4 linked regions of the Macaca fascicularis genome follow. The protein of the gene in region 4 interacts with the protein of the main gene of each other region in a biochemical or structural test. Links are inferred from orthologs where the notes say so. Each region holds a gene or a part of one and is shown on either strand. Other genes may lie near its edges.

What was found.
Region 1: the proteins of TBP (region 4) and BRF1 form a complex in vitro, tested with the Homo sapiens proteins (2 studies listed by BioGRID). The link is inferred for Macaca fascicularis from reciprocal best matches to the Homo sapiens genes TBP and BRF1.
Region 2: the proteins of TBP (region 4) and MSX1 form a complex in vitro, tested with the Homo sapiens proteins (2 studies listed by BioGRID). The link is inferred for Macaca fascicularis from reciprocal best matches to the Homo sapiens genes TBP and MSX1.
Region 3: the proteins of TBP (region 4) and GTF2E2 form a complex in vitro, tested with the Homo sapiens proteins (2 studies listed by BioGRID). The link is inferred for Macaca fascicularis from reciprocal best matches to the Homo sapiens genes TBP and GTF2E2.

The regions. Positions count from the first base shown.
Region 1 is NC_088381.1:173,470,408-173,474,545, reverse strand, and holds the start of BRF1 (transcription factor IIIB 90 kDa subunit), read left to right. Parts: upstream 1-1,338; 5' UTR 1,339-1,678; coding exon 1,679-1,862; intron 1,863-4,138.
Region 2 is NC_088379.1:8,182,999-8,187,026, reverse strand, and holds the start of MSX1 (homeobox protein MSX-1), read left to right. Parts: upstream 1-1,228; 5' UTR 1,229-1,475; coding exon 1,476-1,944; intron 1,945-4,028. UniProt on the Homo sapiens protein: Acts as a transcriptional repressor. Capable of transcription autoinactivation.
Region 3 is NC_088382.1:33,861,081-33,865,178, reverse strand, and holds the start of GTF2E2 (transcription initiation factor IIE subunit beta), read left to right. Parts: upstream 1-1,298; 5' UTR 1,299-1,904; exon of another isoform or gene 1,905-2,142; intron 2,143-4,098. UniProt on the Homo sapiens protein: Recruits TFIIH to the initiation complex and stimulates the RNA polymerase II C-terminal domain kinase and DNA-dependent ATPase activities of TFIIH. Both TFIIH and TFIIE are required for promoter clearance by RNA polymerase.
Region 4 is NC_088378.1:506,202-509,701, forward strand, and holds part of TBP (TATA-box-binding protein), read right to left. Parts: intron 2,606-3,500; coding exon 2,202-2,605; intron 1-2,201. UniProt on the Homo sapiens protein: The TFIID basal transcription factor complex plays a major role in the initiation of RNA polymerase II (Pol II)-dependent transcription.

The DNA.
Region 1 (4,138 bases), on a different chromosome or scaffold from region 4:
GATATCTCGCCACTGCACTCCAGCCTGGGCGACAGAGTAAAGACTCCGTCTCAAAAAAAAAAAAAAAAAAAAAAAAAAAAAAGGGTGGGGAGTGGGGGGTGGGATCTTGCGCATTTCCCTTTTTCTCTTTTTTTTCTGAGACGGAGTTTCACTCTTGTCCCGTCACCCAGACTGGAGTGCAATGACGCGATCTCGGCTCACTGCAACCTCCACCTCTCAGGTTCAAGCGATTCTCCTGTCTCAGTCTCCTGAGTAGCCGGGATTACAGGCGCCCACCACTAAGCACGGCTAATTTTTTTGCATTTTTAGTGGAGACGGGGTTTCGCTATGTTGGCCAGGCTGGTCTCGAACTCCTCACCTCACGTGATCCGCCCGCCTTAGGCCTCCCAAAGTGCTGGGATTACAGGCGTGAGCCACCGCGCCAGGTCGCGCATTTCTTTTTAGACTTATTGCTGGGTATGTCACGGGCCCTATGGCGATTATGAACCGCATCTGCAGATATTTGAGGGCGTGCGCAGCCAAGGTTCCCACTCTGGGCAGGGGGCACAGCGAGGTGACTCACGGGAAACCACAGGTGGCCACGAACGACTGCTAGAAAGTGGGAATTTTAGGAAACAGAAAACGGGGAATAGCGGGGCCACGGGGAAGCTCCAGAACTAGGGCGAGCGGAGGGGCGGGCGCCGCAAATGCGGAGGGCGGAGCAGGGTAGCCCGGGGCGGGTGTCTCCGCCTGCGCGGCCAGGCCCCCCAGCGCAGCTGCCCTGGCCCCGCCCACCACTCCCAGAGCGCCAGCTTGGGTCCTAGATCGCCCTCAGGAGCCAAGGCCCCGCCCACCACGCTCGGCCCCTTGCCTCAGGCCCGGCTCACAGTTCGGGTCGAGACCCAGGCTCCGCCCCCTTCCCCGCCCACAGCTCCAGTTCCCTTCGCAGGCCGAGTCTCTCTACTTGAGGCCCCGCCCACCACCCTCAGCCCCGACCCCGGTTCCGAGTTCTCAGGCCTCGCTCGCCGCTTGAGACCGCGCTCACTATGCGAGGAGGACCCTCCCCTGCCCCGCGTCCAGCTTTAGTCCCCGACTGCGTTCATCGCCAAGGGCCCGCCCACTGCCTTAAGTCCAGTCGCCAGCCTCGGGTCCCGTCCCTGGCCGTACTCACTGCGAGGCCCCGCCCACAGCTCTAATCCCCGGCGTCGCCCGCCACTGAGGCCCCGCCCCCAGCTCCTGTCCCGGGCGGCGCTCACCGCCGTGGCCCCGCCCCGAAGCGCCAGTCCTCGGCTGCGCTCACCGAGAGGCCCCGCCTCCGGCTCCGTTCCGCCGAAGCCCCGCCCCCGCGGGCGGCCCCTCCTACGCCGGCGCGCCGCACGGGAGGCCAGCTCGCTCACTGTGGGGAGACCGCGGCCGCGCCAGGCCGGGAGGTCGCGGCTCCAGTCCTCGCGTCCCCGCTGTGGTCCCGGTGCCTGTCCCAGTCCCGCAGGCGCGGCCGTTACGGGCGGCGCGGCCCCGGCGCGCGCGGCGAATCTGCGGCTGCCAATCGGCGGGCGCGAGGCCTCGCGAGAGCGGCGAGGCCTGAGCGACTGGGCCTGGGCGGGCGGCTGGGCCTGGGCAGGCGGCGCGGGCTGTTCCGGAGGCTCGGGCGGCTTGGGAGGCTTGGGAGGCTCCGGGCCCTGCCCGCGCGTTCGCCGGCATGACGGGCCGCGTGTGCCGCGGTTGCGGCGGCACGGACATCGAGCTGGACGCGGCGCGCGGGGACGCGGTGTGCACCGCCTGCGGCTCAGTGCTGGAGGACAACATCATCGTGTCCGAGGTGCAGTTCGTGGAGAGCAGTGGCGGCGGCTCCTCGGCCGTGGGCCAGTTCGTGTCCCTGGACGGTGAGTCCCGCGGGCTGGCGCTGCGCGGACTTCCCGATGCGGCTTAGGCGGGCTGGAGGCGGTGGCGGCGCGGCCCGGACCCGCGCCTCGGTACCGCCCGCTCTGTCGGGGCGCACGGTTCTGCGTCGTCTTGGCGCGAGTGTGGATCCCCTTGGCGTGAGTATGGACCCCCGTGGCGCGTGTGGACTTCCTCGACACACGCGTGGGCCAGGGCAGCCAGCACAGGGAGGATTGAGGACAGCCTGGGGAGCCCAGAAGGCCCCTCAAGCTGTCCCTCACTGTCAGTCTCTGTGCCTGCAGTTTTGTTTTCAGCAATGTCTGGTACTTAGCATCCGATTGCTGCTGCCCTTGGCTTTGGCGGTTCCCGGGCGGATGCCCTAGGGCCACTCAGGCTGCTGCAGGCCTGGGAGGGGACGTGTCAGGGATGAGCAGTATTGTGAGCTGGGGATGGACCCCAGTCTGTGGAAGGAGCTGGACTGTGGCTAATTTCAGGTGGTTGTGAATAGAGCTGCTGAAACGATTCATGTGCAACTCTCTGTGTGAACATACGTTTTCATTTCTCTGGGGAAGTTAGCTATATGTTTAACTCTATGGGAAACTGTCATGAACTGTTTTGTGATGTGGCTGTGCCGTTATGCATTCTCGCCAGTTGCCCCATATCTTCATCAGCACTTGGTGTTGTCGAGGTTTTTAGTTTGGTTGTTCTAACAGGTGTGTGGCATCTCATCAGAGTGGTGCTCTGTATTTCCCTACTGGCTGGTGATGTTCTACCTCATTAGGATGCTTATTTGCCATGCCCGAATCCTCTTTATTGAAACGTGTGCTCAAGTCTTATTTTTCATTTATCTTGAGACAGGATCTCACTCTGTGGCCTAGGCTGGTGTACAATGGCCCAGTCATGGCTCACTGCAGCCTTGAACTCCTAGGCTCAGGCAGTTCTCCTGCCTCAACCTCCTAAGTAGCTGAGACTACAGGTGCATGCCACCACGACGTGTAATTTTTTTAAATTTTATTTTTAGTAGAGACAAGGTTTCTATGTTGCCCAAGCTGGTCTCAAACTCCTGGGCTCAAGTGATACTCCAGCCTTGGCCTCCCAAACTGCTGGGATTACAGGCGTGAGCCACCACACCCTGACTCTCATTTTTTGTTTGGGTTGTTTTCTTATTGTTGAGTTTTGAGAGTTCTTTGTGGATTGTAGTTACAAGCCCTTTGTTGTATATGTGATTTTTCAAAGCAGAAGTTTTCACTTTTTTGTTTGTTTGTTTGTTTTTTTGAGACAGAATCTCACTCTGTGGCCCAGGTTGGAGCGCAGTGGCACAATCTCGGCTCACTGCAACCTCTGCCTCCCAGGTTCAAATGATTCTCGTGCCTCAGCCTCCCAAGTACCTGGGATTACAGGCGTGCGCCACCTCACTTGGCTAATTTTTGTATTTGTAGTAGAGACAGGGTTTCACCATGTTCGTCAGGCTGGTCTTGAACGCCTGACCTCAGGTGATCTGCCTGCCTTGGCCTCCCAAAGTGCTGGGATTACAGGCATGAGCCACTATTCCTGGCCTAAATGTGGTCTATCTTGACCTAAGTTTTGTATAAGGTGTGCTTCGTAGGTTGAGGCTCGTTGTTTATGTGGAGGTCCCGTTGTTTCAACACCGTTTTTTGAAAGACTGCCCTTTGTCCACTGAAGGCCTTTGCTCCCTCAGCTGTGCTCACTGGGCCCCGTCCGTGCAGGTCTGCCTCTGGGCCTTGTGTCCTGCCCTGTTGATCAGGTGCCGTTTCCTTTGTCAGCATCACAATTTTTTACTGTACCTTTTATATTGTCCTGAAATCAGATATTGTGAGTCCCCCAACCTTTGTTCTTCCTTTTCAAAGTTGTAGCTATTAATTTCCCTTTCCCTTTTTAATTTTAGAGTAAGTTTATGAGTATCTATAGGTCACATATTATTATCTGAAATGCTTGGGACCAGAAGTGTTTTGGATACTGGATTTTTCTGATTTTGGAATATCTGCATTATAATTACTGGTTGAGCATCCCTAATCCAAAAATCTGAAATCTGAGATGCTCCAGTGAGCATTTCCTTTGAGCATTGTGTTGATGCTCAAAAAGTTTCATGTTTTGGAGCATTTATAATCTCAGATTTTTGGATTTGGGATGTTCAACCTGTACAAAAGTCCTGGTGGGGTTTTCATTGGAATCGCATTAAACCTTTCGATAAATTTAGGGAGATCTGACGTTTTTTCTTTCTTTCTTTCTTTTTATTTTTTGTTTTTTTTTTTTTTTT
Region 2 (4,028 bases), on a different chromosome or scaffold from region 4:
GCCATAAAGCGACAGGCGCAGAAAATGGCCAAGCGCCGACCCCGCTTCGCACAGATCTTGCATCTCCCCTGACCCCAACTCATTTTTTCCTGTTTGTTACTTTCTTTTTATTAACAGCAAACATTAAATCATGTTTTCTCCGAAATCGGCAAAACAAAAGTTCTCAAGTCCCGCACGAGAGTCCACCGCCAGGAACTGTCCTCTTTTCCCGGCCCCCTCCCCCAAATGTGACTTTCCCCTCCAGAATCAGCGACCCAGAGATAGGGACATGTCATTGTTTCCGCGGACGCGTTGTTTGAGGTCACGTTAAGGTCAGATCGGTGTTTTGTTGATGTTTCTGTTGGTTTTATTTCTATATCAAAAGAATCCGGCAGCTCCTTTCCCTGGCCGGGCGCTATAGGTGTTGTGACCCTCGGGACAGAAGTTCAGAGCGAGGGTGGGGGAGAAATACACATGGTGTATGAAAACCGACTCCAGATTCTAGATAATCTTAGTATTCTCACATCCATGGCACCACAGGAAGCTGGCTTCTTCCCGCAAGGTTTACTCCAGCTCTGAGTTAGAGACAAAGGCCCACTTTTACCTCTAGGTAAAGTTTAGAAGATTTCAGAACAGGAAGAAAATGAAGGTTTGATTTTGTTTCGTTTTTTGGAAAGAAGTTAATAGTATGTCTTTCTCCTAGGATAAATAGCCATGCGTATTTTTAAAAATATATAAAAGGAATGTATAAGAAATGACCTCAACTCAAATTATTGTAAAAGAAGAAGGCGGGGGGGGGTCAGATAGTGGAGAAGGCACAGGGAAACCCAGCCACAGACTAAAGAGAAAGGTAAAAGAAGCAGTAGAGGAGAGAAACAAGGACGCGGGAGGTGGGAAGAGTAGCGGAAAAGAGGGCTGAGGAGCAGAGGGGAGGAGAGGAGGACAGAAGAGACTGAGCAAGAACAAGGGAAAATCCCCCGGGAACACAGAAAGATAGAGACCCAGGGGGACCCCCGCAGAGAGGGCCTCCTGGGCTTCAGCGCGGAGGAAAGTTCCCCGGGCACCCCCTCTCCTCTCCTGCCCTCCGCCGCCTGGGCCCTGCCCTGCGCGCCCCCAGGCCCAGCGCGCCTCCGGGAGAATCCCCAGGAGCGCGGCCCAATGGATCGCTCCGGGCCCGCCCCCTTGCGCGCTGATTGGCCGCCGCCGCGCTGGCCTCGCCTTATTAGCAAGTTCTCTGGGGAGCCGCGGCAGGGCCAGGAACCGGCGGGTGCTCCCGGGAACTCGGCCTGTGTTGCAGCGGCGGCGGCGGCGACGACCAGGAGCCAGGCCCAGCGCGCCGGAGCTGGCCTGCTGGGGAGGGGCGGGAGGCGCGCGCGGGAGGGTCCGCCCCGCCAGAGCCCCGGGCGCTCCCAGAGGCAGGCAGCGCTCCCAGCCCGCCCCGAGCCCATGCCCGGCGGCTGGCCCGTGCTGCGGCAGGAGGGGGGGCCCGGCTCTGCATGGCCCCGGCTGCTGACATGACTTCTTTGCCACTCGGTGTCAAAGTGGAGGACTCCGCTTTCGGCAAGCCGGCGGGGGGAGGCGCGGGCCAGGCCCCCAGCGCAGCCGCGGCCACGGCTGCCGCCATGGGCGCGGACGAGGAGGGGGCCAAGCCCAAAGTGTCCCCTTCGCTCCTGCCCTTCAGCGTGGAGGCTCTCATGGCCGACCACAGGAAGCCGGGGGCCAAGGAGAGCGCCCTGGCGCCCTCCGAGGGCGCGCAGGCGGCGGGTGGCCCGGCGCAGCCACTGGGCGTCCCGCCGGGGTCGCTGGGCGCCCCGGACGCGCCCTCTTCGCCGCGGCCGCTCGGCCATTTCTCGGTGGGGGGACTCCTGAAGCTGCCAGAAGATGCGCTCGTCAAAGCCGAGAGCCCCGAGAAGCCCGAGAGGACGCCCTGGATGCAGAGCCCCCGCTTCTCCCCGCCGCCGGCCAGTGAGTAGCCAGAACCCAGGCGCCGAGGGAGGGGGCCGGGCGGGGTGTGGGATCCGAGGGCTCCTGCTGGCCTCCGGCGCCTGCGTACCTGCAGCCGGTGCTAGGGAGTCGAGGGCTGCAAGGCCGGGTCTTGCGCCTCCCTCCATTCCCACCCAGGAAGAAGGTTCCAGACCTCCTCGCCTTGGCCCGGAGACGCGGGTGGGAGTTAACGGATAGGACACCGATGTCTGGGCACCCTGTCCTCCTGCCCCCACCAAACGACCCCGGGGGTCCATGATCCCTCATCTGATCCCAAACTCTGTTTCATCGGCTTCACCCCAGCGGATGAATGTGTGTGGTGCGCAGATCTTGCCTGCACCCGGAGTTTCACTTTCTCACAGTAGGAGCTGGCGTCCCCCAGCCCCTCTTCGCTTTCAAGTACATCTTTGCCTAGAGGTTCCGAAGCTTCTACAGAATTCCACCTCCCCATGCCCTTCGAGTTTGAGGCAGATAGTTGGTGCTTTGGGCGGATGGATGATTCAGGGGTGGGGACACTCAAGTTCCAGTGGAGGGGGCGGGGCACCAAGTCAATTAGGGGAAGGCGCCCTCTTTAATCCTGTCGGAAGCTCACAAATGTCTAGAACTGAGCCATTAAAGTGGACTCCAGGTGCTCAAGGCAGTTCGCTCCAAGGCCTCGCGGCCCCCTGGCTGCTCTGCTCAGAGAACACGCTCGCAGATATTTCAGGAGCACGGGAAATTCCCAAGTTTTCCTCGTTTCCTCCGATTATTTTGCTCGGCATAATAGCAGCCAGAATTCAATGGCGTGATGCTGAGGAATGATTTTTATCTGGGGATTAAACGTCTTTGAAAGGCCAGTCCCTCCCTAAGCCTAATGGCTGGAGAAGGTGGCCCCGCGCTGGGTTGTCGCCGCTGAAGAGAGTGACGTTTCTCTCGGCGCCCGCCCCTCGGGCGGCCCGCCGGAAAGCTAGTTGGGGGCCAAGCGCTTCCCGGACTCCCGGTGGCCTCCAGCGGGGAAGAAGCGGGGTGTTAACACGAGATTTCGTTTGACTCATATCCTGGTGGTCTGAAAGTCCAAAGGATCGTTGTGGGTTTTTTTTTTTTTTTTTTTTTTTTTTCTGTTTGTTTGTGGTGGTTGTTTTTTAAAAGAAGTGTGAAAAAATGTATGCTTAGGCAAAACCCGCGTGGTGAAACATCCTCGATTTGAATTCACTTTCTGCCAGGAAAGCTGCTGCATAAGCAGAGTGTCCTTTCCAACGCTTAGGGCCTTGGGCCCCAAGATCACAAAGTCATAGCGATCCCGGCCGTGTTGGGAATAATTTGTTCCACATTTTATCCGGGGGCAGTCCCCAGCGGACCCCATCCCCGACCTGCACTAGTCCTGCGCTCTAATGCTTCTTCACCGTCCACCCTTGAGGTTTATTTTGAAGTCAAAAGAAAAAGACAGCTGGGCATGTTGGTGTCTGCTGACTATGCCACAGGTTGAGGGGAGAGGCAATCTCAACACTTCCCCCCTCCCCCCCGCCAACACCGACACACACACACACACACACACACACACACGTTTGAGTGGGGCCAGGGGGCCCTGGCGCCAGGGGTGAACGCAATCCAACAGAGGACTGAGACAATCAAAAGAAAAAGTCCGTTAGAATAAAGCAGCCCCTCGTTCTCCACTCCAGATGACACTTTCTATTTCTAAGAGTGCGGGCTACAGTGCACCCTCCATGATGGTCTGCGCTGCTCCACCTCTGGTCTGCGGGAACTACTCCTAGAATCCCGTAGGAGCAAAGCGTTCCAGGGGATAGTGTAGAATTTGATCTGGATTCTATGCCACAGTAAGGCCTAGCCCCCGCACTGAAGCACTTCGCGGGCACTGATAAATGTTTGGCCAGCATGTAAAACTACATGTGCCCTTGGGCTGGGCGCAGGTCCTCTTTCTGCATGTCTCGTCACCTGTATTAACATCCACCTTTCCTCTGTGTGGCCGTGGGAGGAGGCCGGCCATGAAGGCCTTCCTAAGCCGCCAGGCAGCACAAAGGTGATTCCACATCTTCCCAGCTGTTTGGGCCTTAGACGTGGACACCAGG
Region 3 (4,098 bases), on a different chromosome or scaffold from region 4:
TCCTACCAATTAATCTTTGATTTCATCCTTTTGTAAATCTTCTGGGCCCTAATCAATTGTTATTCAAAGTTACATTTCCTGTGGGTGTCAGATGATCAAGTAGGCTTATTACAAAATTCTCTAGAATGAAACTAATCAAAAAGGTCACAAAATATTATCTTTTGACTTTTTTCCAAGTTTTGAATAAAATTTTAGGTATTTCTCATTTTCACCACAGTCCAATGCAAGTAACTCATTGTAGTAGTACAATGATTATCCCGATTTTCCAGGTGAGAAAACTGAGCCACAGTTTTAGTAACTTGAAGAGTAACCAGTAGTTAAGTAATTCAACGACAGCCACAGAATGGCTGAGCACTGGCTGTACTGGCGCTTTAGGTTATAAGAGTGAGGGAAGGCCTGCCACGCTGCAGGGTTCGAGCAACGACAATTATTTTTTCCATTGCTTTATTTCCACCCATTTATCTGGCTTCTAAATCCAAAATCCTTTTCTAAGACAGTTCACAGGGGTGGAGGGAAGAGGCTGGGCTGAGCTCCACATCATGCTGCCTTTGCTAGCTGTGCTGTCTTGAGCAAGTCATTTATTAATTAGCTTCCTGGCCCTCTGTTCTTCGCTTGTAAAATAGCTGGAACCGCGTTCTCGGAGAGCAGGTGCTGGTGGGTGGCACTGGGGTAAACTCACAAAATAACCGTTGAGGCCGGAGGCGGTGGCTCACGCCTGTAATCCCAGCACTTCGGGAAGACGAGGCGGGCAGATCGCTTGAACTCAGGAGTTCAAGACCAGTCTGGGCAACACTGTGAGACCCTATTAATACAAACAATAACAACAAAAATCAGCCCGTCGTGGTGGCAGTCGCCTGTGATCCCAGCTACTCCGGAGGCTGAGGTGGGAAAGTGGCTTGAGCCCAGGAGGCGGAGGTTGCAGTGAGCCGAGATCGCGCCACTGCAGTCCAGCCTGGGCGACCAAGTGAGATCCCATCTCTAATAAGAAAAAGACAAAAAACACAAAGTAACCATTGAAAGATAGCGTCGCTGGTTGGGTTCACCACATCCCAGCGCAGGCGGGAGCAGGCTGTAGCAGCTTTAATTAAATGTGCGTAAAGAAAGCTGTCTTCCATCTTCCTTGGCACCGCCTCCCACTTCAGTCCACTCCTCGGCCCCGCCCCGGCCCTTCCCTCGTTGTCATGGAGGCTCCAGGACGCCACAGCGGGATAGTTCTGCTCCCGCGGCACCAGAGGCGGGGCACCCTATGACGCATGCGCTCGCTTCGCTGCCCTGGCGCCGCGGTGGCTGCCGGGACTGAGCTCCTAGCACCAGATCGGGAAGTGGCGGGCGGAGTCCCGGGTCGAGTCGTCGCCTCAGCCACCGCCGCCGCCGCCGCCAGTGGCGAGACCCCGACCTGGCGGGTCAGCGCTGGGCGTGCGTGCGGGCAGGCGGGGGCGCTGACGAGGAGCAGGAAGAGGCTGCAGTGCCGGCGTGGGCGGCTGGCCGAGGCGGAGGCGCAGGAACTGGGCGGCGAGTCGTGAGAGGCTGCCCGCCTCACTCAGGTAGGGGCTGCGGCCGCCGGGTGAGGGGCGCAGAGCCCCGTCCTGCTGTTCCCCAGGATCCAGGCGCGCCGCCGCCTCCCGGGAGGCTGAGCGTGACCTCCACCCCACGGGAAGCTGGGGCCGCCGTTCTGGAAGCGAAACACCGAGCACGCGAACCGTTCCCCGGAGCATTGTCTTTAGGCCGGAGGTTCATTGAGCAAACTTTTGGGTTGGAAAGAGGGAAAATTCGCTGTTTGCTACCTGATTGTGCCTCTTCCAAGCCTCCAAGTTCACGGGCGCGGTAGCCAAGCGAACCACGTTGTGGAGTCTGAGGAGCCACGGGGTCCAGCCAGCTCAAGGCTGTGATTTAAAATGATGCTTGTACGCGGACTGCTTTCTGGGCTACCTTTTGGAGACTTGGTTTGTGATGATCCCTAAACATTAACGATAGTAGTTGATTTCTGAAGTCTAAAGACGTTTTCCACAACAATGCTGCGGCCCGCTTTCCGCCCACCTCCTCACTTCCGTCATTTAAGGGCGAAGCAGCCCGCTTTTCATGGCCGGATCCTGAGGTGCCAGGGACACTAACGAGGCTGGGAAAAAGTAAAACAGAGGGGAGGTAGGAAGGTTGAAAGAGGTCGAATGATGGCAAGAATCGTGGGCTTGGAGGCAGATTTCAGTTTAATTTTTGGGTTTTCCATATCTGCCCGCGGAGGAACCAGCCAACTCCTTGAGTTGTGATAGTTTTGTTTAATTGTAAAATGAACATGGTGATGTAACCTGTTTACTACATAGGTGGGTCCAGAGATCTAAAGCGTACTACACATATTGAGTAGTCTTTGAAAAAGGAGGAAAAGTTAGGCGGAGCACGTGAAGACATTGCGAAGCCTTCTGCTCTAGATGCCTTTGAACGTTCCCGAACCTCATAGGTGGCCTTTGTTTTAAAGGCCTTTACCAGCATTCCAGATCTGTTGTAAGGAGCACTTGAGTTAGGAGTCAGGAGGTTTGGGTTCTGGCCCTGGCTCTTCCATCTGTGCGACCTTAACCAGACAGCTTCACTTCAGATTTCATGTATTAAAATAGGAATGACACTAATACCTGTTTGCTCCTGGAGTTGCGAGGGTCAAATACTGTAAGCATTTAGTTTGTTGTAAACTGTACGGCTTTATTTACATCTTTTTTTTTTTTTTTTTTTTTTTTTTTGTGCCGACAGAGTCTCGCGCTGTCTTCCGGGCTGGAGTGCAGTGGCTCGATCTTGGCTCACTGCAACCTCCACCTCCCTGGTTCAAGCGATTCTCCTGCCTCAGCCTCCCAAGTAGCTGGGATTACAGGCGCCCGCCACCACGCCCCGCAATTTTTAAAAATTTTTTAGCGGAAACGGAGTTTCACCATGTTGGCCAGACTGGTCTAGAACTCCTGACCTCGTGATCCGCCCGTCTCGGCCTCCCAAAGGGCTGGCATTACAGGCGTGAACCACTGCGGCCGGCCTATTTAAATATTTTAGAGTCGTTTTTTAAAAGTCCAGATTAAGGTCCTGCCTTTGCAACGTGAAATAATAAGACACAAATGTTTCCTGTTCTAGAAATTCACAATCAGCTTGTTGCCCCCACCTTCTCACTTAACAATTCTCCTTTCTTGTTCTCGGCCCCACGCTTTCCCTCCTCCCAAGGCTGTCTCCTACCTTCCTCAGCGCAGTAAATCGTTCTTTTCTTTCAGATCCAACTCGAAATAGTAATACTGAAATGACATATGTTTTTATGACTTTACTATTTAAAAAATAACACACGTTTTCTCATTCTTACAATTGGGCTGGATGTGGATAGCTTTCGCAGCGTCCTCATTTTACTTATGAAATTGAATGTAGAGGCCTTGTGGGTTGCCTAGCCAGGTGGCTCTTAGGAATTGAAACTGAGGCCGGGTGTGGTGGCTCACGCCTGTTATCTCAGCACTTTGGGATGCTGAGGTGGGCGGATCACTTGAGGTCAGGGCTTCAAGACCAGCTTGGCCAACATGGTGAATGAACCCCGTCTCTACTAAAAGTACAAAAATTAGCGGCGCGTGGTGCTTCGCACCTGTAGCCCCAGCTACTCGGGAGGCTGAGGCAGGAGAATCGCTTGAGCTCAGGAAGCGGAGGTTGCATTGAGCCGATTTTGCCCTACTGCACTCCAGTCTGCGCGGCAGAGCAAGACTCTGTCTCAAAAAAAAAAAAAATTGATACTGAGAGAAGGCAGGTTTTTGATTCACCGTACAGTGATTGTTCACGCCTTAATTGGAATTCACTCTGATTATTTCTTACTAATGCTTATATTTTAAATTTTTAGCTGAATGCTCCATTTCCTCAAATCTAAGCAGCACGCAGACAAGGATTTATCCTCCATAACCTTTCAAAGCTTAGAGCACAGTGCCTCACAAACAGAAGACATTTAATAAAGGCTTGTGAAACCAGTAATAATGGGACCAGAGCAATTTAAAGATGTTGTTCCATGTGTTGTTCATTTAACATTTATTGAGCTATCTGTGCTTAGAAGCTTTCAAAGTATGAGTCTTTTTCCTCCCAGCTGACACTAGTCTTAAC
Region 4 (3,500 bases):
TTAGCAAAAAAAAAAAAAAAAAAGGCAAAACCCTGCTTTCTCTTCTAATTATCTCTCAGTAAATAAGGATAAACGGAGCCATCTGGGTCCACTGACCCTTTACATTTCTCAGTGTTCTTACATCACTTAATAAATAACTTATACAAGGATAAAGATATACTAAAAAGCAACTCTATTAGAAGTTTTAATAAAAATTTAAACAAAAACCTACATTTTCATTATACATTTTTTCTGCTTATGAAAGTATATATACTTGGCCAGGCACAGTGGCTCACGCCTGTAATCCCAGCACTTTGGGAGGCTGAGGTGGGCGGATCACGAGGTCAGGAGATCGAGACCATCCTGGCTAACACGGTGAAACCCCGTCTCTACTAAAAATACAAAAAAATTAGCCGAGCATGGTGGCGGGAGCCTGTAGTCCCAGCTGCTCAGGAGGCTGAGGCAGGAGAATGGCGTGAACCCAGGAGGTGGAGTTTGCAGTGAGCTGAGATCACACCACTGCACTCCAACCTGGGCGACAGAGCGAGACTCCGTCTTAAATAAATAAATAAATAAATAAATAAATAAAGTACATATACTTGAAATGGGCAATGTCCTTTGAATGCAATTAACTGCGCAACAAGTGTCTTGCATGGACCTGGCAATCACCATCCCAAGAATATAGAGTCCAGATTTCAAATACATAGGTTCAAATACAATAGGTTATAGCTCACTGTTGCTTCTGGTTCTTTTTCTTATACTGTCAAAATGCAAAACTTTTGAAAACTTGATGGCTCATAATTTTGTTCAAAAGAGAATGGCAGTCTATGATACACAACCGTAAAGCCAATTAGGTTGATCCACACAATGTTTTCATTTCCATATCATCTCTTTCCTTCCAATCACCGTTGTATACACACCTGGCTTTAGCATTTGTCCACTGATGAACTATATCAAGTAGATTTTAGTACATCTATCACAACTTTCATCACATAATTGTTAAATGTATTCTTATATGTTTTCATTCATGAAATATTTGCCTTAATCCCTCTTAAGCCTACAAGACTGAGAGGGCACTGAATTACCACGCAGGAGGGTTCTTAGTAGAGAGCAGCTCAGGGACGTGGATGACTGGATGCTCTCGGGAGTATCAGAACAACAAAGGCACGGCAAGAAACAAACACCTGACTGTACTGTTTATACTTTATTATTTAAATCAGAAATGCAAACTTAAATTTTCCTGGGAGTCCGACAAGCATGCTGGACACATGGGAGCGGTACAGACAAGGGTGAGCTAAAAAGGGCTGTCTCTAAAATCACTAAAATTACTTTGTTTTTAAAATTGTGTGTGGGGTCAAACAAAATTGTAGAGGCAAGATTTAGGTCTTTGGGTAAAAGTCAGCATCCACGATTACACACCACTAAGTTCCAAAAATGATCAGAGATAGCTTATAAACAACAACCATATATGTAGCAAGGTGAATAAATGCAAATAGGAAATACTAGATCTAAAGGGAGTATGAAGGAGGAAGGTATCTGTACAAGAAAACTGAGGAGATGCAGAGACTGCAAGTAACCTTTTAATTTGGTCATAAGCTTTCTAACATGAAAAGCTGCACGCTTCTTATTGACGGGGATTATTTGGAAATATTTGTTGTTTTTTCAGGAAGATGAAATTATTTCCTATCCCTAATACCCTGTTACATATAGAACCCACTTCACTTAGGTAGAAAAATCCATTTAGGACAAGAACAGTCATCCTCATTTTGTGGGAAGGACACAGACCTTCAAAGATTCATATGCAGTCCCCACAGTAAAAATAAAAAACAAGAACTGCCAGAAATTATACTGATACTGTGACTAAAGACCTAAAATAGCATAAGGGAAAGAGACTACATAACATTGTGATTTGGCGATATCAGATACAGGGAAATGTCTATAATATAATAATAATGACAGTGAAAATCACATTAAATTTTATTGGCTCAGGTATATAAACACAAATGACCACATTCCTAAACCTGTTAAGAACCTTTTACTGAGGGCACTGACTAAGATGGCTTTGCTTCCCTTTCCCAAGTGTGAGATAAAGCAAATTTTGATACACAATTGCTGTTAGTGCCATTCCCTCCCTTAATAAAAGGATCCATCAGAAAACAGAGCAGGAACACAACTCAAAGGGACTCCTAAGTGGGAGGAAACATAAAACACCAAGTACTCACTGCAGCTGCGGTACAATCCCAGAACTCTCCGAAGCCGGAGTGGCAGGAGTGATGGGGGTCATGGGGGTCACGGGGGAGGGATACAGTGGAGTGGTGCCCGGCAAGGGTGCAGTTGTGAGAGTCTGTGAGTGGAAGAGCTGTGGTGCCTGGCCTGAGGTTCCCTGTGTTGTCTGCTGGGATGTTGACTGCTGAACGGCTGCAGCGGCCACTGCCTGTTGCTGCTGCTGCTGCTGCTGCTGCTGTTGTTGCTGTTGTTGCTGCTGCTGCTGCTGTTGTTGCTGCTGCTGCCTTTGTTGCTCTTCCAAAATAGACAGACTATTGGTGTTCTGAATAGGCTGTGGGGTCAGTCCAGTGCCATAAGGCATCATTGGACTAAAGATAGGGATTCCGGGAGTCATGGCACCCTGTGGAAAGCAAGGAGAAAAACAGGTTAGGCTGGCTGCTGCTGAGTGTTTGTGGAAGTTTCTTGGTGGAACAGCAGGTGAGATGTGCAAAGACAGACGCCCTCTGAGAATAATGGGGTTATTAATCTTTAATTACGGAAGAACCAGCTATTCTTATACACATTGCTTTCTTCTTTAATACCACACAGTGGATAAACATGAAGAAAAATGGATAAACTGAACTTTGGAAAAATTAAAAACTTCTGTTCTCTGAAAGACACCATTGAGAAAATTAAAAGGCAGGCCACAGATTGGGAAAAAAATACCTATAATACATACATCTGAGAAAGGACTGGTAAACAGAATAATAAAGAGCTCTGACAACTCCATAAAAAAAGATCAACAAATAAAATAATGAAAAAGGACAAAAGATGTGAAGGGCATATTACAAATGAAGATACAGGCATACCTCAGAGATACTATGGGTTAGGTTCCAGACCATCTCAATGAAGCAAGCAGCATGAATTTTTTGGTTTCCCAGTGTCTACAAAAGTTATGTTTACACTATAGTCTATTAAGTGTGCAATAGCATTATGTCTAATAATATGTATATACCTTAATTTTAAAATGCTTTATTGCTAAAAATGCTAACAATCCTGTGAGCCTGCAGCAAGTCATAATCTTTTTGCTGATAGAGGATCTTGCCTCGATGCTGACAGCTGCTGACTGATCAGGGTGGTAGCTGTGGCCATTTCTTAAAATAAGACTGACGAAGTTTGCCACAAGGACTGACTCTTCCTTTCACTGAGATGTCTCTGTAGCACACGACGCTGTTTGACAGCGTTTTACCCACGCTAGAACGTAGTTCAAAACTGGAGTCAGTCCTCTCAAACGCTGCTGCTGCTTTCTCAACTAC